Linked DNA regions of Kluyveromyces lactis. The protein of the gene in region 5 interacts with the protein of the main gene of each other region in a biochemical or structural test. Links are inferred from orthologs where the notes say so. Each region holds a gene or a part of one and is shown on either strand. Other genes may lie near its edges.

Region 1 (6,728 bases), on a different chromosome or scaffold from region 5:
TTGTTGCTTTACGTCATTTTCTACAAATGAATAGAGAACAGTAACTTTATCATAGGCAATCAACACCGTCCCGATATCTCGCGGATTCCACTGAAGAGATACTACCGGAGATAGGGGTTCTCTTTTAAAGAACCTGCTTTTCTGGAGGTTTTCGATCTTGAACGGCGAAAGATAGTCTCTATCAACATCATATACGATGGTCGCACCACTCTGTAAACCGATCAAAACCCAGTTTAACGACGGATCCGTTTCAATACAGGTGATTTTGCCCGGTGGAAAAAAGGAGGCAAGCAGGGCTTTTTTATGAAGAGATAATACGCTCAATGAATCCTTGGCGTCGACAACAATCAAATATATACCTTTGATAAATCTCATCTCCTTAATTGCCTTAACTTCTAGAGTAAAAACAACCTCAACTTGCTGCTTCCCATAAACATGAATTTCTCCGCTATCTGTAGCAATAGCTAACAAGCTCTGAACTGGATCAAAGGCAAAGGTGCACACTTTTCCGTTCATACCGTACCTGCTGACCTCGGAAAGCTCAAACATCTTTGATGAGATTCCATTCGAGGCATCTTTCGAAGCTACCGATTTGATAGCGTTCGAAACCGTCTTGAGCTTCTTACTTTTAAACATCCCTCGACACTCTATGGCTATTATTCTCTGATTACTTGTGAGCCAACTTGATATGTTATTGTTCTCTGGTTAGTGTTTGTGTCTGTTTAAGCGAGGATGATATTGTGTTAAATATAATAAGCCTCTCGCATTCATATACGAAAGTTCACGTGACCTTACAATGTAAAATCTCTGCCACTTAACACATCAATTAAGCGGTAGGAAACGCAATGGGAAGGAACGTTTCGTGGGTAATCGTACGTAGTTTCATTGAATCAAAAAAAACAGCAGCACATTTGTACTTGATTCACTGTATATTTCTTCATATTACTTTTTGCTTATTCAGATCATGGGTAATGCAACGCTCTTATAGAGTTACAAACGTAGAAACGCCCATCCAAATAGAGGCGTAAGAGCAAAATCTAGTATATGTAACTACACACGGGCAGGTTATAACTGCAAGTCTTCGGGCATGAAGGAAAAGCCACGGAATTCCTCTTGTAAAACAGAACTTAATACGGATGGTAGTGGTGTTAGGGTTGGAGGAGCCGAAGTAAACTCTTTTTCGAAGTACGATGTGTCATCTGCGGCCTTGATTTCGGGAACGAAAGGTGGTTCAACACGAAGATTTAGAATATCGTCAAAGTTGATATTGCTAAAGAACGGCTCCGCCATGATTTCAAGAGCGTCTTTAGGACCAGCACCTAAACGCTTTTCGGGATCCTTCGTTAATAGGCCTTGGAAAATTTGAACAATATCACCGGCCATATCAATTGGATACAAGGGTTCATCGGTAAGAATGGCATTAAAGACCTCATCTTCGTCTTCTCCAGAGAACGGCGATTGACATAACAGCATCTGGTATAACAATACACCAAAAGTCCACCAATCAACTGCTTTTGTATACGCTTGGCCCTTCAAGATTTCTGGCGCCATAAACTCGGGTGTACCACAAAATGTTGAGGTTTTATTCCCATACCACATATTATCCTTGCACAAACCGTAATCAGCAATCTTTATATGACCTTCGGGAGTTAAGAGAATGTTTTCTAGTTTCAAATCACGATATATAACACCATTGTCATGGAAGTACTTTAAGGAAAGTAAAACTTCTGCAGCATAGAACTTCGCTCTTCTGACAGATAGTCTTCGATTTTGGACATGCCACATCAAGTCGCCACCTCCAATGAATTCCATTGCAAAATAAATACGATTTTCTGTTTGGAAGGAGCAGTATAGGTTTGTCAGGAACGGATGCTTAGTTTCCGTAGCAAGCAAAAACACTTTCTTTTCTGCCCTAGCACTTTCAATATCATGGTTCTTGATGATATTATCCTTTTTCAAAACTTTAATCGCACAAAGGTTACTAGTATTTTTGGATCTTGCTAGCAAGACCTTACCAAAGTTACCTTTTCCTAATACTTTTAGTAAAATGAAGTCATCTAGAGACACCTTTCTCCTTTTGGAGGATTTTTTCTTATGCTTTGTACTGCTGGTGTATGATTTTTGTGGTGAAGATGGTGAACTTTTTCCTGTTATGTTGGCAATATCAGCGGCATGCAACTCAGGAGTTTCTGTCGTAGAGAGACTGTATTCGAGGTCCTCATATTGGGCTGGCGGTGAATATTGATCATCTGTGACATCGGCGGTTTCTTCAATTATGTCGTAATCACCCTTTTTGGTGGCAAGCTCAACGTCCCCAGTACTGTATGTTTGTTGTTGCTGCTCTTGTTGTAACATGTTTTGTTCATTGTACCATCTCTCTTCTTCTTCCTTTCTCAATCTCTCTCTAAGCTCATAGTGAGATTGCTCTGAATCGTCTAATTCCTCTTCATATCCATAATCTTGTACGTATCCGCTGTCTTGCTTATTAGGGTGCTTATTTTCATAATTTCCTTCATATTCTTGCGCAAAATGCTCTTGCGCATGAGCCTGCGGAAGATTACTTATATGAGCAGCATCGAATTGAATCTTTTTCATTGAATCAGGAGACAAACCGGGGTCCAAGCTATGTTGGTAATTCCCGTGATCTGGCGAGCTGGTTTCCACATTGCTGGTGAATGAGTCATAATGGCTATCATGTTGCGTTATAAAGTTATTCAAACGATCCGTCACTAGGTCTTTTCTTGCTTCTGAAGGCGTAGTTGGCTTGATAACGGATGTATGCATATCATCATGATCAAAAGAGGTCTCAAACCTGTTATTTAGCCCATCAAAGCCTTTAGAAATTGGTTTGGGTTTATTATTCACTTTGATGCCACTGAATCCTCTCTGCTGCTGAGTACGCTTAGTATCCTGAATAGTTAGCAAAACTTTGTTGGCCATTTCCATCGACATACCACAGAAATCTGGAACTAAATGAGCACATTGAGCATGGCACATAACCCCACATTCAGTACATTTTCTGACGTTCTTTCTACCCCATGGTAAAATATACCCACAATGGCAACACCACTTCGTACCCCGATTTGAAACAGGTTCAAACCTATGAGGGATACGGTGGTTAAGTTTCGTCTCGTCAGGATCTGAGTCGGTACTTGTTTTAGCAATACATTTTGTAACCACATGCGCGTAGCACTTCTTATGGCATAAGAACTTGCAATCCTGGCATTGATAGCCACTATACCGTAAAAATTCACCGCAATATGCACAGCACATGACATTGTAGAACGATTTTTGGACAAAATGGTGCCCATGTTGCTCAAAGATATCCTCTTTACGGTTGACAATAGCACCATGACGATGTAATCCACCCATGAAGGTCTTTCTTTGTGTAGTGTTTGACTTATTGAAACCAAGTGTCAATAATATTTGCCCGGCAGGTTCCAAGATGAACCATGTATTTGTGGTTAAACTCTGCGTGTGGGTGTCGTTTGCTTCTCTATCCTCCGTGGGGATTCCAGCATCGGGTAATTGCGGTAAATCCTTTGTAATTACAGCTGTATTATTCGCAGGTTGAGAAGGTGGAAGTCTAGAGGCCTGCATCCATTCAGCGTGGCTTTTTCCTTGCTTTTGCTGTTGACCGACTTTTTTTTTCCGAATTTCTTCAGCGATGTCGGCAAGTAATAACCACATGACAGCTACTGGTACAATTCTGTCATTAACCTTATCATATATTGTAACTTCTACCTCGTTACCTTTGTCTATGACTATGTTAAAATCTTCGTGCCACCTATCATTTCTCGATGGTTTTGTCTTCGCTTTTACCACATCATCGACTTTGATAGTAATAAATGTCTCTGGCTTTCTCGAGAATAGAGGGGATTGGATATGATCAACATCTCTAATTGCAGTAACACCGATAGTCAGAGTACCTGATAGTTGTTTTCTCCTAAACTTTGGTTGAGTTGCTTCTTCTGTGTGATCATTGAAAGGATCGATATCAACGTTGATGGCCTGATATTTTTTCAATGATTTTGTTAAGAGCTGAATCCTGTGTTTAGATTCAACAGATCCACCTTGTGCAGCACTGCTACTCCGCTGGTCTCCATCAATTTGGTAGAGTTTAGTTAACTTATCATTAGCCTCTTGATATTGCTTTTCAACTTGCAATTTGAACTCCAACTGCTGGAGCATGTATTGAATTCTTTGCGACAAAGATGGACAATCGTACTTTACCAGATCTAGTCTAGAGTATCTAAACTCATCTGGTGATATTGTAGATAGCTGACCAAAACCGGGATGATTGCTAGCATTCTGGCTGGTAGGAGTATTGTCTGGCTGTTGACTGACTCTCAACTTAGCTAGAATTTGTTCCAAGTACTCTATATTTTGTTGAGCCTCTCTAATATTGGTGTTGCATTTCTGTATGACCATGACATTATCAGTCTTTTTCTTCAATTGATTCGAACCCAGTATAATGTTTCTTTCCCTTTCGATCTTTTTGTAGATGTCCTGTTCAACAGGGAATGCAGTGTGTTTACGATCTTCATCCATAGTTTCATACAATAGTAATATCTTTTTATGCTCAGTTCAGAGTGTTCATACGTTAGATGGCTAGTTGGTGCCTTATAAGTTCATGAAATAGAATCAACGCACCACTTTGACAGGATCTGATCTGAAACAATTTCAAGCTGTGTTCGCCCAGAATACCAATATTTTAAGATCCCAAACCACTGAGAAAAAAATGTTTGTAAGAGAAATATTCAACGAAAAAAAAAGTCCCAACTAAACTGACTTAATAAACCGTTGTTTATAGTCGTTCTTTCCTTTAGTTTTTGGTATCCTTAAAGATATTGTTGAGATCAAAAAAAACCATATATTTGTTTGTATCTGGATAGATCAAACTTTTTATTTTCTTAGTTTCGCCACATGATTTCCTGAAATAGAGCTCACGCATTTCAACTGATCGGGGAATCTTAACTAGTCACGTGAAGAGGCTTGCGCTCATGCGAATGACGGTGGGCAATGATGGAAAAGATGGCTTTAAGTTCCATCGCTGAACCACGGTCCATCCTATAACTCGATGAATATGCTCGGGGAAGTTTTCCAAGTATGGTACTGCGTTGCTAGTATCATTATTTTGTGGATGCGTAATGATTCATTCTGAAAGCAACGTTCAGCCGCTTGATATCTGCATATGAGATATTTGTATGTACTAATAGTGGGAGAAATGAGTTTTTGGCGAGGTTAAGGATTAAAGAGATTATATACGCTGAATAACAAGTTTAATGATTTATCCTAGAGCGTTTAGGTCCGAAATATTGGTAGAGTGTTTCATTGATGGCATAAACACGAACACCCAGGAACAGGACAAATTGAATGTCTTTCAAACCATTCCTCTGCATGACCGGCATGCATACCATGATTACACTTGAGACAGAAACTGAACCATTCGTTCATTTTCAAACGCTTTCTTTCCTTGACCTCGTTAATTTTCGCGTCGTCATCGATTCGTACTTCACATGAGTTGGTGGTGCCATTGATGACTATGGGGAGATTTGAAGTACCCAATGGCAAGAGACAAATAGCACATCTTGGGAAAGGCGTGCCACAATGTGGACATGAATGTTTCTGTTGGGGGACATCACCGTTTGTATTATTGAGGCCGAATTTCTTTCCTGCATTTAAGTTTTGATTAGCATGTCTTGGTAGGGATGCATTAGAAGACACATCAATGGGTCTGTTGATATTCTTCTTACATTTGGAACATTGTAAATACATTTGACGAGGTTTTAACTTCGCTGTAATTCGACCATCACTAGTCCTAGATAATTTTGTCTTGAGCACATCGAACTTGGCCCTCATAGTGAAAAATTCCCAGGAATTTAACATATGGCGATATGTTTCAACCCATTCATCAACTCTTGGGTCCATGAAGTATCTTGGGGAGCCGAAAACTGAAATTAGTGCAGCAGTTTGAATATCACTAGTCTTTCCAACGTACGATTGTAGAAGATCAATACCATTAGGCGTTATACCAGTCAAGATCAATCCTTCTAGTTCACCATTTTCAATAACAGTAGTAGCAGTTTTTTCTAAAAATCTGGTTAGATCTGTGTCATTTAGAAATCTAAGAGCAACACCAAGCCTTTCCCTTAGAGAGATAGCGCTCTCATACAGGATATCCCACCAATCATTGTCTGCAATGAATGCAAAAATGACTCTCAAATAGGGATCATCAAGCTCAGCAGCCATTTTTCTACATTGCTGTCTCCATGCATTGTCACCTGGCTTTTCACTATAAGCTTGATAACCTGCAATGGCCGCAGCAATGAGTCTAAGACGTTCTTTATTTGCAGATCCCAAAATAGATATAGCTTTCTGAACGTCACCGAAGAAGACAGCCCAGGCAGCAGCTTTCTCATAGTGATTTTGAGCTATTAGTGATTTATATTTTTCTTCGTAATCTGAAGGAGACAAATCCCAGCCACTAATAATCATACAGAGTCTTCTCTGAATGGCCTTTTTTGATGACATTTCGGAATTTAAACTGGAAACATTCCCAATTTTGTTTTTACTCTTGCTTCTCATCTTAATGATCTTCTCCAATTCCTTGTTTAACTGCTTTTCTGTGAGCATTCCTCCAGATCTATAACGATTCTGATTGGAGAGACCTTCAAGACCATTCCATATCCCTAAAACGCCTTCGTAGCCTAAATCTAAGTCTCCTG
Region 2 (5,859 bases), on a different chromosome or scaffold from region 5:
GCAGCACAAACCACAGTTGACATATTACTTGCACGACATTTGTGTCTGATAAATGAATTTACAGTAGTGATGAAAAATTTGTGTAAATAATTCACGCGTATATAACACCAGAGGTTGATAAACTCCATCGTTTAGATGACTTCACCAAGAACGAGAAAAGCCATACCCCGACCAGTCGTAACCACCAGCAATACAGACGAAAGATGTTCAAAAAGATTAGAGATAAGATTCATCCAACATACAATCCTGAGGGCATCACGTGGACCAGACGCAAGTCTGGTCCACAAGTGGTAGCCGAAGTACCAGTTGTTGTCGACAAGAAAACTGGACAGAACGGCAAGGCCAAGAGCAAGAGCAAGGATAAAGCTGCCGGTGCACTACCTTGTCATGACAGATACACAGAAGAGCTCGATGTCGAGCTCGTTGTGAAACAGCTCAGTTTGGAAGACGAACTGAAATTGGTACATGATGTAGCGATGGAATCCATCGTTGCGTCTGACATTTCATCACCGTCGTCTTCATCGACAACAACGGCTTCCTCTGACAAAAATGCTAAACACGTGACATCCAAAGCTTCGTCTACCGTTCCGCCCCACAAACAAATTACCGGCAATAACGCCGCCCCATCACGTCGGGTAACAAGTATGTATACAATTTTCAATTTGGAACTTTTTTTCCGACCCCCTTTCCCTATCGGCACCCTTTGCTCCATTTGTCCTTGATCCCTGCCTAGGTGGCCCCTGAGTGGCTTCCCTGCTTGGTTTCCTGGATGTGATCGGACTAACGGAGAAGTACTCACGAACTTCCACTTTTCCCTGGCATCCGGTTCCAGGAAAAACTATACTATTTGAACAAGCAATCTTCTTCCTATTAAGTAATACTACGAAGGGGCAAACTGTTCAGTAGTCTGGCTAGTCAGTTCCTAGATTATTCTGTCAGACAAAACACTTTTCTTGCTTTCTACGCATATACAAGGGAAGGCTCTCAACCCAGTCATGCTTTCAGGCAAAAAAAAAAAAACTATTTCGATTTCTCTCTCCTTCAATTTTCCAGTAAGCTGATTCGATACAATAAATGTCTGGACTAACAAAGCAATTTGCAAGCAGTTTTAGTTTACTCTTTCCGCTTAGTATTTATTGTCTGAATAAAACTTTGAGAAAGACATGAGGACATTGGAAAATTTTTCATTGAGCCAGACAAGAAAGACGATAAAACTGTTGTTTTTAACCTGATTCTCTCCCCCCCGCATAATATTTTGAATCGGTGTGCGCGTGTGTTTGTGAGTGCGTGTGCTGAATATTTTATTTTACTGGTCTTAGAAGACGTTGCGTGTTTGAAGTTTTTGGAAAATTTGGTGAAATTTAAGGTAAAAAAAAAAGAACACCAAGAACAAGACTTCGCATATAACAATTAACACACACAGACAGATCAATCACTTCTTATCTGTTGTGAGAGAGAAAGGATTCAGAGAAAAGTGTGCATGTCAGCATAGTTTTAGTACAATACTCCTTTTTTTTTTTGAATGAAAGTTGGTGAATTGCTCGAAAGTAGCGGTGCCGGTGGTTCAAGATCTATTATTGCATATACTAACGATAAAAACGCTGGTTTTGAGACAGAGATGGATTCCATTTTACCCAGTGATGATTTAAAACAAGGCAGTCTTCATAGTAAGAACAGTCATGGTAATGATGTTAAAATCGTTCCAGATGAAGACGAAGTAATAACCCGAAGGACTGTGGTGAAAGGCCATTCCAACCCCGAGGAGTCAGTTGTTATTTCATGCGGCACACCTGAAATTGTGGGAAATGGTTCGTTTGGTGTCGTTTTCAGAACAAAAGTGAAAGAGACTGGGGAGGATGTTGTCATTAAGAAGGTTCTACAGGATAGACGGTTTAAGAATAGAGAACTGGAGATCATGAAATTGATCAGTCATCCGAATTTGATCGATTTGAAGTACTATTTCCTTGAACAATCGGACCAAGAACTTTATCTAAATTTGATTGTAGATTACATGCCCATGTCTCTTTATCAACGGCTCAAAGAGTTCATTTCCTTGCATCAACCAATGGATCGTTACGAAATCAAGATTTACATGTTCCAATTGTTCAAATCTTTAAACTATTTGCATCAAGTGGTCAATGTCTGCCATAGAGACATCAAACCACAGAATATTTTGGTGGATCCAGATACTTTACTGTTGAAAATCTGTGATTTGGGGTCTGCTAAACAGTTGAAACCAAACGAGCCCAATGTGTCATATATTTGCTCCCGTTACTACAGAGCCCCAGAGTTGATCTTTGGTGCTACCAATTACACAACAAAGATTGATATTTGGTCTGCAGGTTGTGTTATGGCTGAACTGCTATTAGGACAACCCATTTTCCCTGGTGAATCTAAGATCGATCAATTGGTTGAAATTATTAAAGTTTTGGGTACACCAACCAGGGAAGAGATCTGTTCCATGAATGAAAACTACTCCGAACATAAGTTCCCTCAGATCAGACCGATCCCATTGAATAGGATCTTCAAGAAGGAAACACAGGAAACTATAGACTTATTATACCATATCATGAAATATGATCCTAATATCAGATACAGCGCTTTACAATGTATGTTCAATTCGACGTACTTCACTGATATCGTCAGCAACACCGGGTCGGACTCAAACCTTTCGTTGATCGATTCTTTACCATTGCTACATTTTGAGGAAAGTGAATTACAAGGGTTGTCATCTAACGATATATATAGATTGACTGGCAAACTGATATAGAACCGACAAGACAAAAGGAAAACTAAAAACAAAAAAAAAGACTAGTTGAGAGAAGGAAATATGCAAATACAAATGCATTAATGTAACGTTCTACCCAGCACATCCAAAGAAAATGAAATTAATACACGAAATTAATGTGCATACAAATAGTTACTTCTCATATGCCTACTTGTTGCAGGCAACACCGTTGTTCAATGCTATCCTACGCTCCCCCCCTTTGCATATCATATTTCTCTTCAATTTTAAAGTTCATTTCAATGTCTTTCGGAAAACCTATAGTTCTATCCTGTCCCTAATAGTGTTCATATTGGGCAGTGGATTCTTTTTATTTATGTTAAGCATTCCCTATTCCTCACTAGGAAAAGGGCACTTGGACATCATAATTCTTCCTTTTATAGCAATACTTTTCTTTCTAGCTTCCGTCCTACCTTTTTCATACCGGATTTCACCTTGTCAGTTCATAATAATATCAATACTCACCTATTAAGAGCCACATGACGTGCGTGCGATTGAGTACTTAAAAACTACTGTTACCTTTTGTCCATCGTGTAACTTTGCATTTTCTTTGTCACATTTTCCTGTACAAGAACTAACTTGACAAAATTGATTTTCCTTGAAGAGAAGTCGAATTAAAAGTTTAACAGGAATATACTGGGACGGACAAAAAGATGGAAACCAAGACCCTGATACACTCAGGGGCTGCTAAGGAGATGAGCTATACTGAGAGGTATAATGTCGCACCGCTAATACCTTTGCCTGAGTATCTTTTTCATAGATTATTTCAGCTCAACTGCCGTACTGTGTTTGGAGTTGCCAATTATTCAACTGCGAAACTATATCAAGCCATAGCAGCCAGCGGGATACAGTGGATCCAAACGATAAATCAATTGAACACATCATTTGCAGTAGATGCATACGGGAGAGCTATCGGAGTGAGCTGCTACGTCACTAGCGAATCTGCAGAATTAGGCCATGTTAATGGTTTTTTTGGATCATTTTGTGAATATGTTCCCATCTTACAGGTAGTCGTCTTGGAACAGTCTCATGATCTTGAGAGGTTGATTGGAGATGTTTCAATCTTTCATGACGTAGTGGATGATCCTTCTGAGATAGACAGTTGTGTACGAACGCTTTTTTGGGGGAAACGCCCTGTTTATATGGGCCTCCGATCGAAGGATGCCACGAAACTTGTCCCCAGTAGTTCTCTAAACGGAAACATAGCAGATAAGATGGGCATAAAGAACACTTTCTTTCAAACGGACACAATAAAGAGGGTTATAGACAAAATCATTGCCGAAGTTTACGCTTCATCAAGGCCATTGATCGTGGTTGATGCATTAATTGATAGATATAATTACAACAGCACAATACAAAATTTCCTAACGGAAACAGGAATACCATTTGTGACAACCTTAATGTCAAAAGGTTCTATTGACGAAAGCTTACCCAACTTTGTTGGGACTTTCTTAGGTACCATGTCACAGCCCATTGTTCGAGAATATATGAATAATGCAGATTGTACGTTAATTTTAGGATGTATGATCGAAAACTTCAAAAACTCGTACTGTAGATTCAACTACAAGAGTAAAAACCAAATCTTACTTTGGAATGATAGAGTTAAAATTGAAAATAATATAATACCTGATATTTTACTTCATGAACTACTCCCACAGCTAATAGCGTCATTAGATACTACCAAAATAGTAAACTCTCGTCCAGTAACAATACCGAATATGATACCCAGAGTAGAACCGCAACCGGTGACATTTTTGCGACAGGAGTACCTTTGGTTTAAGATGTCTACATGGCTAAAACAAGGTGACGTTATTATTTCTGAATCTGGTACCTCAGCTATTGGTCTCCTACAACAAAAATTCCCAGATAATACTAGGCTAGTATCCCAAGCAATTTGGAATTCATCTGGTTATTCTATCGGTGCATGCCTTGGAATTTTGGCAGCATATCGCGATATGGGGACATTGGATAAGCATAGGATTATATTAATGGTGGGTGATGGGTCTTTACAATTTACTTTCCAAGAACTAAGCACCATATTGACGCACGGTTTCAAACCTTACATTTTTGTAATAAATAATCAAGGTTATACCGTTGACAGAACCTTGAATAGAGAAAAGACCCATCTGAACGCTACATACTTCGATATCCAACCGTGGGAACTATTAAAACTCCCGTCACTTTTCTATTCCCAAGAGTATTTCAAGAGAAGATGTATGTCGGTTGGGGAATTGAATAGTTTATTAAGCGATAAAGAGTTCAATAAATCCGATCAGTTGAAAATTGTAGAACTAATCCTTCCATCCATGGATGTTCCAGTACTACTCGATCCACGGGATGACAGTAGTGATGATGAATCTTCTCCGCAGCATAAAAGACCCAGAACGTGAAAGGAGAAGGGTGAAACAGATATCAGAGAACTTTCACGCTTCAAATATATATATTATTTAATAAGCACTGAACACACAAGTACCTGCTTGGTGATCAGTCTCAATGTTAACCGCATTACCATTAACAACACGGCACGCTTTTCGTATCGGCACTAACGAAGAGCACACCAAAAGTCACGTGTGCATTATACCGATATTCACGCAAAGAACAGAATGAAGTAAATAAATACTCTATTGATGTCAAATACAGATAATATGAGCGAAAAAATATCATCTTCTCAGGGTAACACTGATCAGAGATATTCCAGAACCATTACCATTAAGTTAATTGTCACGTGCCGGTCAGTACGTATCACGTGACTGTAACATACATCAGCCAACCAATCAGATCGCTTCCGTTCACAGTGACGTCCAACCTCTGACAAGAATTGCTTTTCCCCACGCTTTAATCCCCATTAAGATTACCCTGCAGCAAAACGCACAACGGGAAACCAATGAGAAAAAAGTCTCAGAGGCTTCACAGAATTTGGCTCATCTCGTGTCTTGACCGATGTTCCCGAAATGATAGACTTGTTTCGAAGCATTTTTTCGGTTTAAGTAGTTAAAAACAGGTAGGAGAAAAATTTTAGTATGCGCACTATGGTTTGTTGATAATTTCATATATAACTAACATATTAAGATTTG
Region 3 (6,895 bases), on a different chromosome or scaffold from region 5:
TCTTCTCCCACGTCGTTAAGTCCATCTCCATCAAGGGTTCTTACGTCGGTAACAGAGCTGACACCAGAGAAGCCACCGACTTCTTCACCAGAGGTTTGGTCAAGTCTCCAATCAAGATCATCGGTCTATCTGAATTGCCAGAAGCTTATGAACTAATGGAACAAGGTAAGATCTTGGGTAGATTCGTCGTTGACACTTACAAATAATCGGATTAATTAAAGAATGTGTCCCTCATTAGATTTCTTTTCTTTATTTAACTCCCATTATTACAAAAAAAATTAGTGCAAGGGAAGAGTCTCTCACCTCTTAACTTAAAATGAAAAAGAACAAACGTATTCGCCATAATCATATCATCCTCAGCCTCCTATTTTAACAAACTCACACAACGATTCGCTCTGGCTTTATGAACCTTGCCAGGCGTGTGTTTTTAAGAAGAAGTTTAACCGTTAGATAAGAAAGGATGAAAATTTGACGATACGTTCTTATTCCATGCCACCCCCCCCCCCCACTGTTACGTATGTTTATTGTTAGAGCTTATGACCTATCGATGACTATTGTTATTATCTTATACAGATGAAAAATCTCTTTTATTTGAATTGATTTCAAACAACGTATTTTTTATATATCATAGTAGTCATTGACCCCCCTCTCTTTCTTATCAATGAAGTAAATAATATTCAATCAATATTCCAATTTTTAAACTAACTTTAATACCAGACTTATCTTTGAATTGACTGGTATTGTCACTACTAGCATTAATTTATGTGTATTTTTTAAGATATATATATATTATTCTATTGTTACAAAGTTTTACAGATATTTTTATTCTTCTTGTGCACTAATTGCACCGGCAACGTCTTTATTGAACCGTTCAAATGATGCCATAGTATCCTTATCGTTAACGAACCTCTTACTGCGAGTCTCCAGACTTAGCACTGTCTCCGTACCATTCATGCATCTCATCTCAACGGTAAATTTACTCTTGGGTCGATTTCTCTTAATACCACCGAAATTGCAATCGTACGTCACGTACTCTTTATCTCCCTTACGTTCCATCTTTTTTAACTCACAATCTACACCATTCTTACCGAATTGCGTCATGAGTAAGATGTGAATGTTATCAAACGGTATACTTGAGGTCCGGTATTCATATACTGTCCGCTTTGGTTTCGAGGTTTTAATCCGTTGTAATAGTTTACTGAACCAATTAACGGGGGAGGAAGACTTCATACTGGTAATTGGTTTCACTTCATCCTCTTTGATCTTTGGTAATTTGTTTATGTAGTTGGATTTCCTTTTGCTGCCAACGTTATTTGTCGTCGTACTGTTGGCATTTAGCGTCGGTTGTCTTCTTTCTGCGGCAACGGGTTTGAAGACCTGTTCGGATTCAGAACTTCCGTCATCAAATAGTAAAGTCACCCTTCTAGTCTGACCTTGACCATGGTTTCCATCATCGTTCTTTTGTTCTTCTGTTGATAGGTCCAGGTTATCGCCATTGATAGAAGATACAAGAACAGTGGAATTTCTTTTAACGGTAGTGCCGTTTGTGTCTTCATTGGTTTCATTTTCGACTGGACGTGTATCTAATGCACTTCCTAGGAGTCCCAGTCCATTATCGTCATATTCAGCACGGCTTTCATCACCGTCGAGATCTTTGAACATCGAGATCATAGAACCGGTGATGGTTAAATCTCTGTCACCATTCGAAAATCGCTTTTGTTTGATATCTTTGATGGGACTCAATTTGAACTTAGATATAATTTGTTCTGTCGTTTCCCTTGGTAAATTATCCAGCTTATCCATTTGATTGATGTATAAACTGACTCTTACATCCGTTGCTGGTGTCAGGACATGACTTGTATCGATTGAATCGATAGAAGCAGCTTTTTTCTTCAAGTTAAGCTGTGACTGATCGATCATTGACTCAGAAGTAGTAACAGATTCATTAGCATCGTCTGGAGCGTCTTCGAAAATATCGATGTCACCGGCTGTTGTGACCGCTGGTGCAGTATTGACGTTATAATCGTCATAATTGGAACTGGTCTCAAACCGGTTCGAATCATTTTCAATCATCAAAGTTTGATTTTCCGAGAGTTTTTCATGATCAGTATTAACAGGATTAGATGCCTGAGTAACTGGTACTTTATCCTCATCGATATTCATGATAAACTGAGAGAGATCTTTGAATGTCATTGACGAATTGATCAACGACGATGGCATGCGTAAGAGATCAGGCTTAATGTCAGTCATAGGTGTACTGGTAGTTAACACGGTTTCCGGTGCTGTCAACTTACTTGGATTAGTCTTCTGCCTTTGCAATTGATTTTCACCTTCCGAAGAACCTTTCCCACCAAACAAAGCCTGCGCCTCTCCGCTTACAGTCCAATCCCCACTATCTCTTAGCTTTCTAATGGTAGATCTTGACTTGATTCTCTGTGGAACACTGACCTTCCTTAGAAGGTTCTCAAGTGATGGCTTAGGTTTGTTACGTTTGGGGTCCAAAGATGAGACATACATGGACTTGGATTGGAATGTATTGGTCATATCCTTCAACGGAGTCATAGAAACAGGAACAGTCGCTATTGTGTTATCAGCCGTCTTCCGTTTCATTGATGTCACACTTTGTCTATTTTCTGTCTGTGGCTGATTGTTCAGTTTTGGTTGTGCCAGTATATTCTTCGATGGCTGCGTAAGTTTTTCATTCTGTTGAGCTTTCATGTGCTGACCAGATTCACCGAGGAAATTATCCATCGTTGCACCATGCACAGACGTACTTCTATCATAATCGTCCACAATAGATTCAAGTTTGGATGAAGTGTGCTCCGAGGATGAAATAGAAGGTAAAGGCGGAGGTGGATATTCATGTTGCAACTCGTCATGAAGCAATTCGTTCAAGTTTATTGAACGTTTAGAAATAGATTGCAAAGAGTACAACGATCTCTTTGAAGCTGAGTTTTGTAACGTTCTTTTCTTTGGAGTGGTAGGAGTCAATGACTTCTTAGAGCTGGATTTTGATATCGATTGTGAGGAAGATTTTGCGCCAAAGTTTGGTTGGAAAAGTTTTGAGGAGGAGGAAGAAGCAATGAATCCCTGTTTTGTCTTCTTTGGAGATTTTGAACTTCCATTTTTCAAGGAACTTATCGAGAAATGTGATTTCTGGTGGATCTTTGGAGCCTGTAGGGTACTAGATTCAGAACTATCAGATGATATTTGTTGTCCAAAGGCCGATATTGTTGGAGCCATCGATGCTGGCAGTACAGTTCCGTTACTTGATTGTTGTTGTTTTTTCGCTGTATTTGTTACACTATTCACATCAGATGAAATATTCAATGGACTGACCGAGGAAGCGGACGATGTTTTCAACGTAGGAACAGGTATTAAATCCTTTTGCATCGATTTCTGTTGTTTCTCCTGATAATTCCATAGTAAAGAATAAAACATTTTCTCTTCAGTGAATCCTGGTTTCATAAGTCTTGTCACCAAATGTTTCCTTGCAGCACCGTGCCATAGGATCTGTAGGTTGGATAAGATTGTCTCATCGATGTCCCTTTCCGACGAAAAGCTCACAATATTTGGAGTACGATTCAACAGATTCAAATCCGAATTAGACTTACTGCGAGATTTCTGATCATATTTCGTCAGCAACTCATGCTGTAAGATTTGGTCAATAGTAATTCTTCTATTTGGATCTACCACCAGGATTCTAGAAATTAAATCTTTAGCCTCTACCGATAACCATTGGGGCATCTGATATTTTCCTGACTGTACTTTCAACAACAATTTCTTGACGTTATCGTCGTTAAAGGGTAAATGTCCAGTCAACAGGGCGAACAAGATGATACCACAGGACCAAACATCACTTGGGGATCCATGATATTTCCGACCCAGAACGATTTCAGGAGAAGCATAATGTGGTGAGCCACACGAGGTCTCCAGCAGTTTATCCGAAGTCTCTAGGGCAGCCATCCCAAAGTCTGCAATCTTGATAGATCTCTTTTTCTTATCCAAAAGCAAATTCTCTGGTTTCAAATCACGATGACAAATATTGAACCCATGGCAGTATGCTACAGCTTGTACTATCTGTTTGAAATAATGGATAGCCTCACTTTCCGGCAACTTCCCCTTCGAGACCAAATAGTCGAACAATTCACCACCTTCAACATATTCCAATACCAAATATAACTCAGATTTGTTTTCCCATACCTCGTAGAGACCCATCACATTGGGGTGCGAGATAAGCTTCATAATGATAATCTCACGTTCGATCCCATATGGCAGCTGTTTGATCTGGTTCGACTTAACGAATTTTTTGGGAACTATCTTAATCGCTGACAGTTTCCCCGTTTCCATATTCTTTGCTAGACGAACTCGACCCGATGACCCTTTCCCCAAAGTCTTACCCAATTTCCAGGGACCTACCGTATCGCGGTTTCTCCTCTTCGAAGTCTTGGTATTATTAACATTAGCATTCGACGATGCAGTCGAAATCTGTGAAAGACGCTTAGTAGCGTCTGTTACTGACTGAACAACCCTATTCAAATGTTCATTATTTGCACGATATGGGACCTGGCCGTGACTAGAATTATCCTTCATTGCCACAACGGCAGCTTGAACAGCACACGACATCTAGCACAAACAAAGCAAGCGAGTGAAATTGAGAAAGCAAAAGAGCAGAAGAGAGCGTGTGTGAGTGTTTAAGTATGATAAGCGAATGTAATGATTGGAAAATAAACACACTCTGTGATCAAATCAATGATTCTTCTTCTTCTTATTATTATTAGTATTCTTCTTCTTCCTTATAATTCAAATGGTAGACCTAGCCTTGTAATTTGCAGTTCCAGCAGAGCGACAAATCAGCGTTACTGATGATGTTAACGTTGCTTGGTGTCTTCTCTCTTGGATGTTGTTTGGTTTCAAATTCTGATTCAAACATTGTTATGTGTGCATATATTTCATGAAAGGGCTTTATTTGGTAAATAGTTGAAGTCATTCTGCACGACTAGTAAATACTAGCAAGACGCGAGTTTGAGCTTTGTTCGCGAAGACGAAGACGCGAAAACGCGAAAATTGGCAGAAGCAGTAAAGTCGAGAACATGGCAAGTTCAACTTGCTGTGATAGATTTGAACCAGGGCTTTCGGCGCTGGTTCAATAATTGTGTTGGTTGCTGCCAGTGTGCTGGCACGGGCACGGGCATCAGCACTTTTGGTTTATCTGAATGAAATATAGGCACAACCACGTGACCTTTGAATTTACACGGCCGAAAACAACTAGATATTGTCACGTGACCTTTATCAATTCTGTTGCCTATACGAACTATGACTTAAACTTATCCATGATATCTTATAGCAACCATCTCGCACCACTCTCCCCTGAGAATAGTAACTAATTGATCTTCAACAACGCTTAATAACGTTACTATCCCTCGATATTCACACTCCGCTCCCAATTCAAGTCATATTTCGCTCGCTGTACAGGACTCTGAATTACTTTTAACGTCTATCGATCACAGTTTCTTCTTCTCCCCTATATTAAAGATAAAGACACTGATAACATAACAGCGCTCAAAGAGACAAACACCATCCGAAAAGTGCAACCCAATGACAGAACACATCGAAATAAGCAAAGAAACTATCAACGCTCTAAGCGACGTCTTGAAACAACTAGCCGTCATTGAACCTAGGTCAAGAGACGTTAACAACCAAAATGACAAGGTTACCAAGAAGTCGACTAGTAAGCAAAGCCAATTCTCGAACAAAGCGACGTTCAGAGAGTACTCGCAAGAGTACATAGATTTCACATATGAAAACCCTACCATTTACCACGTCGTCAAGTATTTTGCCAAGAAATTGGAAGAGAATGGCTTCGGTTATCTCAGTGAAAAGAGTTCTTGGTCCAACGTTGAACCGGGCCATTACTATACGACCAGAAATGGTACAAACCTCTGTGCCTTTGCGGTGGGACCCGAATGGAAACCTGAGTTAGGTGTTGGTATCATTGGTGCCCATATTGACGCCTTAACTGCGAAGTTGAAACCTTCTTCTAAGAAACCTGATGTGGAAGGATTCGAATTGTTAGGTGTAGCTCCATACGGTGGTACTTTAAATGAACTGTGGTTAGACAGAGACCTTGGGATCGGTGGTCGTGTCCTAATTAAGGACCCTGATACTGGTAAGATCAGTTCGCATTTGTGCAACTCGGCTCCACACCCTATCGCTAGGATTCCATCTTTGGCACCACATTTCGGTGCACCAAGTGTTGGTCCATTCGATAAGGAGGACCAAACTGTGCCCGTGATTGGCTACGTCGGTAATGGAGACTACGATGATGATGATGAGGACCACGACGTCGAGGATGAAAAGAAGAGCCCGTTGTACGGCAAACATAGTATCCATTTATTGAGATACATTGCCAAGTTACTATCCGTTAAAGTGTCTGCCATTACGCAATTTGACTTGGACTTATTCGATGTGCAAAAGGGTACTTTCGGCGGTCTTAAAGACGAATTCATCTTTGTTCCTCGTATTGACGACAGAATCTGCTCGTTCAGTGCCATCAATGGGTTGATAGAGCACAAGAAGACTGGCCATAAAAAGGATGGATTTAACGTCGCAGTGCTTTATGACGACGAAGAAGTTGGATCGTTGACAAGACAAGGTGCTAAAGGTGGATTGTTAGAATCAGTGGTCGAAAGAATCGTTGCTAGCAGGGGAAACGACGTCTCTGAGACGCGTACGGCATTCGCCAACTCTATCATCATCTCTGCAGACGTCACACACATGTTAAACCCAAACTTCAACTCAGTATATTTAGAGAACCATAAACCAAAGCCAAACGTTGGGATCACCCTTGCATTGGATTCCAACGCTCATATGGCTACAGACGTTGTTGGGACCG
Region 4 (5,692 bases), on a different chromosome or scaffold from region 5:
TTTGCCTGCCCTTGCTGTTTGACGAACGGAAACCAAGAGCGAAAAAATCAGACTACTGACAGGGTTCAGTTATGGCAATTTTTTCTATTAATTCTAGCTTTGAAAAACGGGCCGGTATCATAGTAAGTTATTTTACAGACCTAGGCTTTTCGCTGACGTGGTATTTATTCTCATTTCTTAGAAAGATTCGCACGGGGTTAATGATTGGGATGGAGCTAGGTGATACTCCTTACTCTATTCATTCTCGGTGGAAACTGAAGAGTGATCGATACACGAACAACTCACGATGATGGGTTTACGGGTCTTCCGATCATATCTCCTCGTATGTGTTTGTGATCAGATTCTTTTAGTTTGCTTGGCGTCCTTGAATCATTCATATTCGGAGCGCGGAGAGGGCGAAGTTTCAAATAACTGGTGTGATTAACGATTCGGATAGATAGGCAAGAACTAAGATGAGCACAATGGTTGCAAACTAGCTGCAAGGGCTGCTTCCTTGCTCTTCATATGTGAACGAAACTAAAACAAACCTTGACACGTTTTTTCCTTTTTCTACGCCCGTTTCTACGCCAAGTTTATCTTAATTCGTAGTCTGCACTGAAAAAGGAAAAAAAAGAAGGTCTTTAATACCTCAGGGCAAATTTAGGCTACGAACTACGAATCAGCAGAATGCGACTGAAAAGGGTGTTTGCTATATGAATCAAATCGCCTACCTTAGCGTCGGTCTTTCATGAGAATAATCCTTGAGGGTAACTAGGTAAATTGTTTAGGTGCAAATCTGTATGTCATTCTTGCTTTTCATATCTTGTTCAAAGTGTGACAGTGCACCCTATGTGCTGACCACCACTGGGAGCTGTAAATAAACCATTAAGGTTGATAAAGCACCACTGTTGAACGTCTTTTTAACAACCGAAGCTATGATAACTTCCCATTGATGTAATTAGACAGTTACATCAGAAGAATGTACCTTCAAAAGCTTAAATCGTTCATGCACAATAGAAGAGAAAGGGAACACAAAAAAAAAAAAAAAATAGAAAAAAAAAAAAAGATAAGACCCTGCATACATTTTAAGGGTTCCAGTTTCTCTAGGGCACATGCTACAAATTTCTTATACAATAGCCCGTTAGGAACATCCTCGTGGAATGTAAGCCATTTCAAAAGAATAGAGTACTTTTATTTATTGCGTTAAACCCTCTTTCCGTGTGGTTATGTACATATCTGTGCTCTGCATGGAAAAACATCTGCAAACCATTGCAGTGTAGGCTGTAAGGTCCTCAGATTAAGAGGCGCCGATAACCCTGCTCATTCCAATGAGATGCTCAGAGAACTCGACGGTAAGTTGGAACCCTAATCTTTTGTACCATCGACAGGCCACATCATTGGCAGTGAATACGCATAGTTCAATTGACGGACAGGTCAGGTCACGTGCAAGTGGGATAAGTAATCCATTGAAAATAAGAGACCCTAAGCCACGTGACTGGTATTCTCCCATCAGATGGATTTCGTATAGGAACAAACACGGCCGATTCAATTTGGAGTGGTCCAATTCTGGATTCAATGGGTCGGATAATGCCACTGATGTAAAACCTACTATCTTAGTGGTATCTCTCTTGAACAAAACAATGTAGACTAAATCTTTATCCAGCATTTCATCCCATTTGAACCTAATCCATTTCTCGTTTCCCTTTCCTTTATCGTCATCAGTATAATTGTATATCGATGAGCCATGCAGCTCGTAGAACGTGCTCAAATTCTGTTTTATAATGGCAAGGCACTTCGGAAGTGTGGAACCAAGATAGTTTGGATCACCAGAGTGTACTCTATTACTAAATACCTCGCACACAACATCCGAATCACCAGTGCTATTCAATTCTTGGCAGAGTACGCCTGCGACACGTCTCAAGTTTCTACTATGGTAATTGGACATGTCTTAAGTCCATCACAGCTGGTTATTGAAACAGAAGCTCTTTCTATTGCTATTATGCTTCACCAGCGCGTATTAAGCTCCAACTTTTCAACAGTTTTTGTTGACATATTCCATGCCACTACATATTTGAAGCTAACCAACCGAAAATAGAAGGGAAAAAAAAGAAGTAATATATACATTCAGTGAATCGCAAATATAAGGTCAAGAACACTGAACAGTGAGACATAGTCACAATCCTTGGTAGTGGGACGTTGACCAATCAATAGGAGAGGCTTTAAAACATAGCTGTGTTCCAATGAATGCGATCTCTTTTTTGTCAAATGCACTTCCTGCTCCGCAGGAAGTGCCGATCAAAGAGAAGGAGGGTATATTAGTGGATCCGACCCCCACGAATACCCAACCGAACAAAGTAAAAAACAAGACGACGACGGCGTCAACAACAACATCAACAACAACAACGTCAACAGCTACGAATAAAAGGAATAGACCGTTTATGAGATGGATATGGTGCATATTAATATTCCTACCAAACTATTTGCTAATAAAACCTATCATAACGATCTGGTACGTTATCACATTCCCATTGAATTTAATGGAAACCAACACGCAGGGGAACAAAGGATTGATCCAGGTAGGATCAGAAACTGACAGTAGGACCGAGAAACTATCGAAATACGTGGTAGAAGAGGATCTATCACCGACTGATGAGATCATAATAAACCAGGATAAGATGAAACCAAGACCTATTACAGAATATTTAGGGAAATTTCATTTCCCCAAGAAATTAGTACCCCAATCAATGCTACTTTCTACCAGTCGAAAGCTTTTAGTACTCGATCTCGATGAAACGTTGATCCATTCCATGAGTAACAGTAGATCGTTAGGGAACCCAACAGACAAGAACCCTAGTGGCACCACACCAATGATACACCTGGTAGAGGTACGATTCCCGCAGACAAACATATCCACGTTATATAACGTTGCCAAGAGACCGTATTGCGATATGTTTCTCCAACAGACGAGCCAATGGTACGACATTGCCATCTTCACAGCATCCATGAAAGAGTATGCAGACCCAGTAATCGACTGGCTACAACAGACGTGTTCGGTACAGTTTCACTACAGATGGTATAGAGAAGATTGCACACTTCGGCCTGGCGTCGGTTACGTGAAGGACATCGGTACCGTGGCAACCCAAATCGAAACGTCACGTGACCTCTCTCAAATGATTATCATTGATAACAGTCCTATCAGCTACGCAATGCATCTGGACAATGCAATACAAGTACATGGTTGGATCAACGATCCAAGCGACTCGGAACTACTACACCTATTGCCACTACTAAAGGCCATGCGTCACGTGACGGACTCTCGCTGTATACTTGCACTCAAATCAGGTAGAGCATCGATCTCCAACTAACAGTGTTATTACCCTGTCCATAATATAGTACTAATTTGTAGAGATGCGAATATGTAGACAAGCGATTTAGGAACCGAAAGTAATCCCTGAACCGGCATCCAGAAAAGAAAAAGAAAAGGGCTATGTTCCTCCAATTACTCCAATTATTCCGAATGCACCCGAACACCCAGACACGCCACTAGTGGCATACCTCGGATCAGACCGGATACGGAATACATACGCGCTGCGACACTGCTCTCCAATTTTCCACTGTACCACGTGACGCTTGATAGTTTTTTTTTTTTTCTTCACTCCTTTCGACCACGCGCTACTGGATCTTCTGCGGCGACCGCATTCTGTTCTTCCTTTCTTTCCCTCACTTTGATGCGATTCTAACAAGGCGCCAGTCTTTAACTTGGCGCTGTACACCTTCACAAGGTGTGTCTACTTGGTTAATACGTTGACCGAATTACGGTTTGTGTTAGGATATGGATCGTTAATAGCATATAGGCGTATTGTATAAGCCTGTGTCTTTGTGTTGTATGAGTAATAAATCCTCTTCTGTTCTGTACTGTGCTGCTGTTTCTAACTGTCGAGGATTCCATTTTCGCGAAGATAGCGATTTTAAATACCTTCTTGTTTCTTTATTTCACTAATTGTTCCGTTGTAACTTGTAACTTGCTAGCGATTTTTGACTTAGCTGCCACTCTGATATGTTGCCAGTAATTCATTTGTTGGAGTTCTAAGCTGCAACCTGTAAGCTGTAAATATCGGCAATCAATATTGATATATATATATATATATATATATATATACATATATAAGGTAGACTAATTTTGTTGTTAAAAGTGGAAATATATCTCTTGATAGGATTTTTTCAGACTCATCATCACTCATTAGGTTTGATTTGGAAGAAAGACATCCGGCGTCAAGAAACCACATCCCATTTGAACAATGATTAAACTTCCCGCTAAACTGCTTGGTTCCAGATTTTATTCTTCTGTAACCAACCAGAATCGTTATTCTGTCACTAGGCACAATGCTCCAAAGAAATGTCCAGAGTCCGGCCATTACAATAAAATTCCAATTGGCAAAGAAGCTGCTAGGTTACAATCCCAACCTAAAGTGACTAGACTGTCTGTCGATGGACCAATTGAATGTCCTTTGGAAGGTTTCCAATTGTTGAATTCACCATTGTTCAATAAGGGATCGGCTTTCACTTTGGAAGAAAGAAAGGCATTCGGTCTAGATGGGTTGCTACCACCACAAGTGAACACCTTGGATGAACAAGTGGAAAGAGCTTACAAGCAACTCTGTTACTTGAAGACCCCATTGGCTAAGAACGATTTCATGACTTCGATGAGAGTGCAGAACAAGGTTCTTTTCTTCGAATTGGTCAGAAGACACATTAGACAACTGGTACCGATCATTTATACCCCAACTGAAGGTGATGCCATTGCTGCATACTCTCACAGATTTAGGAAACCTGAAGGTGTCTTCTTAGACATTACCGAGCCAGACAGTATTGATTCTCGGTTGGCTGCTTACGGTGAGGATAAGGACGTTGACTATGTTGTCGTCTCTGATGGTGAAGGTATTCTAGGTATCGGTGATCAAGGTATCGGTGCTATCAGAATCGCTATCTCGAAATTGGCATTAATGACCCTTTGTGGTGGTGTCCACCCAGGTAGAGTGATGCCAGTTGCATTAGATGTTGGTACTAATAACAAGCAATTGGCTAGAGACGAATTGTACATGGGTAACAGATTCAGTCGTATTCGTGGTAAACAATATGATCAATTTTTGGACAAGTTCATCAAGGCTTTGAAACATAGATTCCCAAATGCAGTGCTACATTTCGAAGATTTCGGTGTAACTACTGCTAGAACTTTATTAGAACGTTACAGAAACGAATTACCATGTTTCAACGATGATATCCAGGGTACTGGTGCCGTTGTTATGGCCTCTTTCATCGCTGCTCTAAAACATACCAATAGAGAATTGGTGGATTCGAGGATCTTGGTTTATGGTGCTGGTTCCGCTGGTTTAGGTATCGCTGATCAAATAGTTAATCATATGGTCACTCACGGCTGTACTCCAGAGGAGGCAAGAGCCAAGATTTATCTAATGGACAGAAAGGGTTTGATTCTAGATACCATGGAAAATGACTCTAATCCAGCCCAATTTTTATACGCCAAACCAAGTGAAAACTGGGAAGGTGCCAACACACAGTCATTGGTGGATGTTGTATCAAAGGTAAAACCAACCTGTTTGATTGGTTGTTCAACCCAAGCAGGTGCCTTCAACAAGGTTGTCGTAGAAGAAATGTACAAACATAACCCAAGACCTATCATTTTCCCACTTTCAAA
Region 5 (7,020 bases):
GTCTATAGTATCACATAGAATCTCGTGTTTATCAACATCAGTTGAAAGTACCAACATTGTATGCCCACCACTGACAAGTAACGTTATAAACGGGTACTGAGGTTTCAAACCATCAGTCTCGAGTCTCGGTATCAACAAATGGCCTAACATATGGTGAACACCAATGAACGGTTTGTCCCATGCAACAGAGAGGGCTTTTCCAACGTCTAGTCCCACAGATAACGATCCTGGCATCCCGGGACCCCTAGTAGCACATACCAAATCGATCTTATTCTGTGATTTCGTGGTCTTTAGTGCAGACTTGACCACTGATGCTATATTTTTCTGATGATGCTCATGCGCACGGGTCGGTATAACACCGCCATACTCTACGCTGTCTAAAGTGGACTTCAAATGGCACAGCACGTCGGCTGGCCTATCCTTTGTCCCACGATCCAAAATCGCTACACAGGTATCATCGCATGACGTTTCAATCGCTAAAACCCGGTATGCTCTTCGAAAAACCAAACTTCTCGGTAGACTCTTGTAACAATTAAACATTGGCCAGGAAGTATCAACGAGAACCAGAGGATTACAGTCCGATGTTCATTATTTTATCTCATCTCATCGCATGGGTCGTATAATAAAGCATAGAAGCGATTTCTCTTAAAGTTCCTTTAGTCAAACATAGACACAGACACCTTTGCACCATTAACACTTTTTTTCAGTTTCGAGCATTTTTCGATTTTTCAGATGTTACAATTTTTGAATGAAAAGTTAATAAAATTCATGAAGTAATCTAGAGCACATCATTATTTCCAGAGTCCGAAAAGCATCCTTGGGAGGTATTGCCGACAATTAGTAACTGTGGGAAACTAAAATCGGTCTGATACTTGTTTGTCGTTCGTTTGTGGACTTTTTTGAGGGCGTTTCAGTGGATACTCAATCTCTGTGCTGGCTTTGTTTCCCAAATTAAGCAAAGTTAAGAAAACAAATAGGCCTAGTGCCATTATCTTGTGAGAACTGTCGAATAGCTTGACATTTTCTCTGTGGCCTTTTATTGTTTGGATACATTCTGATATAGCAACTGTAGGCAATTTTTCCAATTAGAATTCAATAGTGATTCTGTGATAGAGATACCTGAAATCTTTGAAACGGAAGGGTCGGAAATTAGCAGCGCATAACTTGAAGAAGAAGGTGTTTCCTACACGTTGAAACCGCCATTTTTTCAGTATCAGGAGTGGTCCTTTTCATACTTTGATAGAACGTTAAGTGCCAGCTGTGCATCTTCTTCATTGTTACAATCTCTGATTTAAGATCGAACGAGGAACTACAACGGGCAGAAACACACAATTGTTAACGCAATAATAGTGAATTACTGATTCTGTGACATCCTGTGACATTTACAGCCAGATGTTTTCGTTATCATCTTCTATTCCTGTAGTGGGAACTCATGACCACCCAAGTGAAGGTATTCTTAAATCACAACAACAATCAAAACGTCATGGATCGACCGTACCTCCACCATCCGGTGGAAAAACAAATGCAGATTCCACAGAAAATGCCTATTCACCAATTGTGCATTGTATGTTGGCTGGTGGTATCGGAGGAGCCATAGGTGACTCTGCTATGCATTCATTGGATACAGTAAAGACAAGACAACAAGGTGCTCCAAGCACAGTGAAGTATAAAAACATGATTGGTGCTTATAGAACAATTATCCTGGAGGAAGGGTTGCGCAAGGGTTTATACGGAGGTTACTCGGGTGCAATGCTCGGATCCTTCCCCAGCGCGGCAATTTTCTTTGCTACTTACGAGTACACCAAAAGAAAAATGATTGGTGAATGGGGAATAAATGAAACTTTCTCTCACTTAACTGCAGGGTTCCTTGGTGATTTCATTAGTAGTTTCGTGTATGTGCCCAGTGAAGTGTTAAAGACCAGATTACAATTGCAAGGCCGTTATAACAACCCGTTTTTCCGCAGCGGCTATAATTACAAAAACCTCACAGATGCCGTCACAACCATTGTGAGGCGAGAAGGATGGCCAACTTTATTCTTTGGTTATAAAGCAACCTTGAGTCGGGATCTACCGTTTTCTGGGTTACAATTTGCATTTTATGAGAAATTTAGACAACTTGCATTCGCAGTAGAGAATAAAACGTTTGATGAAGATTTATCTCTGAGTAACGAAATAATTACCGGTGCTGCTGCAGGTGGTCTTGCTGGTATCATAACAACTCCATTAGATGTTGTAAAGACAAGAATCCAGACACAGCTACCAGATATCCCTGAAAATAGTTCTCAGAATTTAAAGCAGCAAACGTTGACAAATTCCATTACGAAAGGCATGATGACCGTTTACAAGACAGAAGGTCTCGCTGGATTATTCAGCGGTGTTGGACCAAGATTTATTTGGACAAGTATACAAAGTAGTATCATGTTGCTATTATATCAAGTTGCATTAAAAACCTTGGACAGTAAGCTTTCAGATGAAAAGAAACTTTAACACCTGACAAACTATCCCCACCATCTTTATGAATCTCGCTTCGACAAATCACAACTGTTTATTCAACTGTATCACTATTCCTGTACAAAATTGCTGCTCTCATCAATAAAATGAACTCGTCGCTCAATTGCAAGTGATTGCGCGCTTTACACATTTTAATCAGTATTATCTATCTTTACGAATCATTAGAGATAAACTACTCGGTTCCTTTTCTCATCTGCTGGTGATTTTCCCAAGAATACACCTCGTAGCTAAGCTTAACATAAGGACGTACTGAACATAGTCTCCCTTTAAGAAATCCTTGTATATACATTTTCCATATTTCTTATTATTAAAGACATTCTTATAAGACGCCTTTGCTGGGTTATAATTGCAACTGTATTGCCTGTTCACCTGGCGATCACTCTTCAAATTATAAATCCATCTACCTCATTGAATTGTTCAACATCTCTATTCTTCCTTTTCCTGCATACTTTAATGTTTAGAATAAACGTTGGAAAATGTATGTAATAAAATGAAAAAGTGTAAACGATGTTATTTAAAGAAATGAAGCTAATATTGAAATGTCACAAAACGGGTATAGGTTAATTGGGGAAAGATAACTTCAAAACGCGCCTTTGCAGATAGTCTGATAAACTAGACGACACAGAGGCTTTGTTCTGACCATCCGCGATATTCGAAATAGATGCAATACGTGGGCAGAGCTTTTGACTCTGTATCGAAGACATGGTCTTCGATCAATCCAGCAACATTATCCGGAGCAATAGATGTTATAGTGGTAGAGCACCCTGATGGCGAGTTGGCATGCTCGCCATTTCATGTTAGGTTTGGTAAGTTTCAGATCTTAAAACCATCTCAGAAGAAGGTAGAGGTCTTGGTTAACGGACAATCAACGGACATCCCAATGAAGCTTGGAGATTCTGGTGAGGCTTATTTCGTGTTTGAGACTTTAGCTGACTTGGAAGGTATCCCAGACGAATTGATATCTTCGCCTGTTGTTAGCGCTGCCAGTAGTCCTGAGAGCAAGCCAACGACAAAGGATGATGCCCTTGAAGAACCCGACTTTTTAGATATCAATGATTCAAAGATTGAGAGACCAACTACACCGACACCAATCCAAAGAATTACTAAAACGCTAACACAGAAACAGATACCATCCACTGTTGATAATAATGGAGATCTATTACTTGATATTGAAGGTTATAAAACGAGTAAAAATAAAGTAAACGACACTGATGAATTGTTAAAACAGCTGTTGTACGATGAACTTGGAGAAGATGTAGACTTGTCAGAGTTTGTGAAGGAGGATGAAAAGGGAAACATTCGGATAGTGAACCCAACAGATCCATGTTGGGCTACTTCTCCTCCCAATTCTCCACCTATGACATCGTCGGACTCCTTGTATTCCGAGCATCAATCGGTCCTCGGTTACTCATCAAATGAAGGAACACCATCCTTTAGCACCGATAACAGTAGAGTTGAAGTCCCATCGGCTGCAACTGCAACAACACACTTTATCAAAACTATCAGATTAACGTCCAAACAGTTGAAATGTTTAGATTTGTCGAATGGTGAAAACGATTTAACATTCTCGGTAGATAAGGGACGAGCAATTATCACAGCAAAACTTTTCTATTGGAAGTGGGACGATCCAATTGTGATTTCCGATATTGACGGTACAATTACTAAATCTGATGCCTTGGGTCACGTCCTAACCATGATTGGTAAAGATTGGACTCATCCTGGCGTTGCGAAGCTTTTTACAGAAATCAGAGGGAACGGCTATAACATCATGTATTTAACTGCCAGGACGGCAGGACAATCTGATTCCACAAGATCTTACCTAAGAAGTATTGTACAAAATGGTTGTACATTACCCATTGGGCCGGTTATTCTCTCGCCAGATAGAACAATGGCAGCATTGCGAAGGGAAGTTATTCTAAAGAAACCTGAAGTGTTCAAAATCGCATGTTTAAAAGACATGAAGGCATTGTATTTCCCAGAATCTAATAACCGAAAAGATGATGCTGATGAGATGCCAACTCCTTTTATTGCTGGTTTTGGCAATCGTATCACAGATGCCTTGTCGTATAGAACCGTTGGTATTCCAAGTTCTCGTATTTTCACTATCAACCCTGATGGGGAAGTACATATGGAATTACTAGAGCTAGCAGGATACAAAAGTTCCTACATCCATATTAATGAACTTGTAGACCATTTCTTCCCGCCTGTCAAAAAGTACCCATTTGTCGCTGAAGATGCTCGGAGTATTTCAACAACTCCGGGTTCGCCGTATGGAACAAACATAATGCATGATGAAAAATCATTCTATCGAGCCAATGATGAGAAGTATACCGACGTAAATTACTGGCGAGAACCAATTCCCGACCTTGATGAACTCTCTGATCTAAGCAACGATTCTGAGAAGGCAACCTCTCCATCGAAAGAAATTTACAACGAAGGTATTAGGAACAGTACAACCAATGGTACTGCTAACCAGACTAACAAAAATAGATTGTCTGTGCATGAGCCTCGGGAAGGCAATGACACGGAACTGTTGTTGACACCTCGGAGAAAAAGTGATCCTGATAATATTGGACAAAGGATGTACCTGAACCTGGGATCGCCGTTATCATCTCCTGTCCTCAAGGTACAAGACTCTGATCTCGATATGAATACTAATTCACCTTACAATAATGGATATTCTAATAATTCTGAACTATCCCAAAAGAACCAGCAGCCTTTGAAAAGACATTCATCTAGTGAAAATAGTATTTTGACTTTTGATCATCTTTCTGCCCGCACGCCTTCGACGCTAGAAGTCCAACCGGTTAATGTATATAACGATGGATCGGGACCAGTAATGGGTCAACTGCAGTCGCAAACAAGCCGTAGAAATACTAATTCATCGAATTCAAACAATAACTCTTTTGATAAGGAAATACCAAGCGATGAAAAAGGACATAATCCGGATCAACATTTCTCTGAACAAGAATCTTTAACAACAGATCAAGGTTCCGAAAACATCTCGGATGAATATGAAGATGAATTTGATGAAGACGAGTTTTGACTATTTTTCAAGGAACTACAAATACAGTCCATCAGGATTATACAGACATTATGTACCTCAGTGCAGAACATCATGAATTTAATGACGGCATGAGTTGAAAAGCACGAGAGTAAAAATGCCCAAGAATATTGCTTGCAATACCCCCAGTTTTGAACTGTTACTATGTTGGGAGTCGGATTAACATTTCCTCATTCATTCAAAGTACCTAGTCACTCGTATTTAGAAATAATATAAACTTCAAATCGGAATGACCCATATATGTAAAAAATTTCTAACCTAGTTTGACAATCTTCCTATCCAGCTGATGGAGTAATTTCAATATTTAGTAATGAAATCGCTTACACCTGTTGGTAAAATTTTGACGGAGATTGATTTCTACATTTTTATTTACTTCTATGTCTTGTCATGTCGCTGGATTTAAATAACATTGCTCGCCTGGGTAAGTGGTTCTTTTACTTACTATTTAAGACGAAACTACTTCTCAGTGAACGAAGGCTATTATTACATTACTGAAGCTTCTAGTAACCATGACATTTTCAATAAGCTTCTAAGCGTCACGGTCATCATGAATTGTCGAATGATATATTACTCTTGTGAAACTATTGACCACAAAACATGACCATAACTCAATATAAATATCTCTCCCTGCCAGAAAATTTTTACAGCATGGTTCTTTGGTTGTAAACATTCCACAGAAATTAGGCAACATGGCCGAGCGGTTAAGGCGAAAGATTAGAAATCTTTTGGGCTCTGCCCGCGCAGGTTCGAGTCCTGCTGTTGTCGTTATTTTTTTATAAGTTAGACTTCTTAACATTTCTTTTCTTGTACAACGTGTGTTGGCAACAAATCACGCTACATAATATATACCGCGTTTGTGGTTCCTAGCAGAGGTTTTGTTGAAATAATTCAAACTGCTTTTTTACCATCTGATTTGGGAGAGCATTACTGTGAGTATTAGCTGTTAATTGTATCCGATTGCACGTGTTTTTGACAAGCGTAACATTGATACCCCGGGGTAGCCGATTTTATAACCATACCAGTATTTCATTCAATAATTTTAGATATGTCTGTTCTACGGAGGACTATTGATCCAATAGCATCTCTGTGCACTCCAGGCTTAGTAACGAACAGGAGTCCCTTCTTGTTGAAACTGTGTAATGTACTGGTCGATATATTCTGATTAAACATCTCTTCCTACAGAAATTGGGCAACATGGCCGAGCGGTTAAGGCGAAAGATTAGAAATCTTTTGGGCTCTGCCCGCGCAGGTTCGAGTCCTGCTGTTGTCGTCATTTTTTTGTTTATTTAAAAACTTTTTTGTTTTAAATGCAGCAATAGATTTTAACGGTGTTTTACATATTTCAAACCCAAAGTTGTATTTGCGCTGACAATCAATTATTATCGGGGAATGTAAATCACTGCTAATCGCATCTTCAGAAAATAGTTCAGGACCTTCGCTTAACA

The links.
Region 1: of the proteins of PAH1 (region 5) and PKC1, one has a biochemical effect on the other in vitro, tested with the Saccharomyces cerevisiae proteins (3 studies listed by BioGRID). The link is inferred for Kluyveromyces lactis from reciprocal best matches to the Saccharomyces cerevisiae genes PAH1 and PKC1.
Region 2: of the proteins of PAH1 (region 5) and KLLA0_F17006g, one has a biochemical effect on the other in vitro, tested with the Saccharomyces cerevisiae proteins (2 studies listed by BioGRID). The link is inferred for Kluyveromyces lactis from reciprocal best matches to the Saccharomyces cerevisiae genes PAH1 and RIM11.
Region 3: of the proteins of PAH1 (region 5) and HSL1, one has a biochemical effect on the other in vitro, tested with the Saccharomyces cerevisiae proteins (2 studies listed by BioGRID). The link is inferred for Kluyveromyces lactis from reciprocal best matches to the Saccharomyces cerevisiae genes PAH1 and HSL1.
Region 4: of the proteins of PAH1 (region 5) and NEM1, one has a biochemical effect on the other in vitro, tested with the Saccharomyces cerevisiae proteins (8 studies listed by BioGRID). The link is inferred for Kluyveromyces lactis from reciprocal best matches to the Saccharomyces cerevisiae genes PAH1 and NEM1.

What each region holds. Positions count from the first base shown.
Region 1 is NC_006041.1:576,604-583,331, forward strand, and holds PKC1 (protein kinase C), read right to left. Parts: upstream 4,552-6,728; coding exon 1,066-4,551; downstream 1-1,065. Other genes in the region: Rab GTPase-binding protein SRO7, read right to left, coding at 1-636; SEA4 (Sea4p), read right to left, coding at 5,332-6,728. UniProt on the Saccharomyces cerevisiae protein: Required for cell growth and for the G2->M transition of the cell division cycle. Mediates a protein kinase cascade; it activates BCK1 which itself activates MKK1/MKK2.
Region 2 is NC_006042.1:1,558,770-1,564,628, reverse strand, and holds KLLA0_F17006g (serine/threonine protein kinase RIM11), read left to right. Parts: upstream 1-1,522; coding exon 1,523-2,770; downstream 2,771-5,859. Other genes in the region: KLLA0_F17028g (uncharacterized protein), read left to right, coding at 204-722; KLLA0_F16962g (uncharacterized protein), read left to right, coding at 3,439-5,175. UniProt on the Saccharomyces cerevisiae protein: Serine/threonine protein kinase that is thought to function in regulating kinetochore activity and entry into meiosis. Could phosphorylate IME1.
Region 3 is NC_006042.1:1,252,084-1,258,978, forward strand, and holds HSL1 (protein kinase HSL1), read right to left. Parts: upstream 4,627-6,895; coding exon 823-4,626; downstream 1-822. Other genes in the region: alcohol dehydrogenase ADH3, read left to right, coding at 1-206; metalloaminopeptidase APE1, read left to right, coding at 5,599-6,895.
Region 4 is NC_006041.1:1,650,673-1,656,364, forward strand, and holds NEM1 (Nem1-Spo7 phosphatase catalytic subunit NEM1), read left to right. Parts: upstream 1-2,219; coding exon 2,220-3,344; downstream 3,345-5,692. Other genes in the region: NAT4 (N-terminal L-serine N(alpha)-acetyltransferase NatD), read right to left, coding at 1,277-1,924; MAE1 (malate dehydrogenase (oxaloacetate-decarboxylating)), read left to right, coding at 4,278-5,692. UniProt on the Saccharomyces cerevisiae protein: Catalytic component of the NEM1-SPO7 complex which acts as a phosphatase and dephosphorylates the phosphatidic acid phosphohydrolase PAH1. Essential for the formation of a spherical nucleus and meiotic division.
Region 5 is NC_006040.1:830,371-837,390, reverse strand, and holds PAH1 (phosphatidate phosphatase PAH1), read left to right. Parts: upstream 1-3,172; coding exon 3,173-5,557; downstream 5,558-7,020. Other genes in the region: QRI7 (putative N(6)-L-threonylcarbamoyladenine synthase), read right to left, coding at 1-540; MME1 (Mme1p), read left to right, coding at 1,393-2,487. UniProt on the Saccharomyces cerevisiae protein: Mg(2+)-dependent phosphatidate (PA) phosphatase which catalyzes the dephosphorylation of PA to yield diacylglycerol. Required for de novo lipid synthesis and formation of lipid droplets.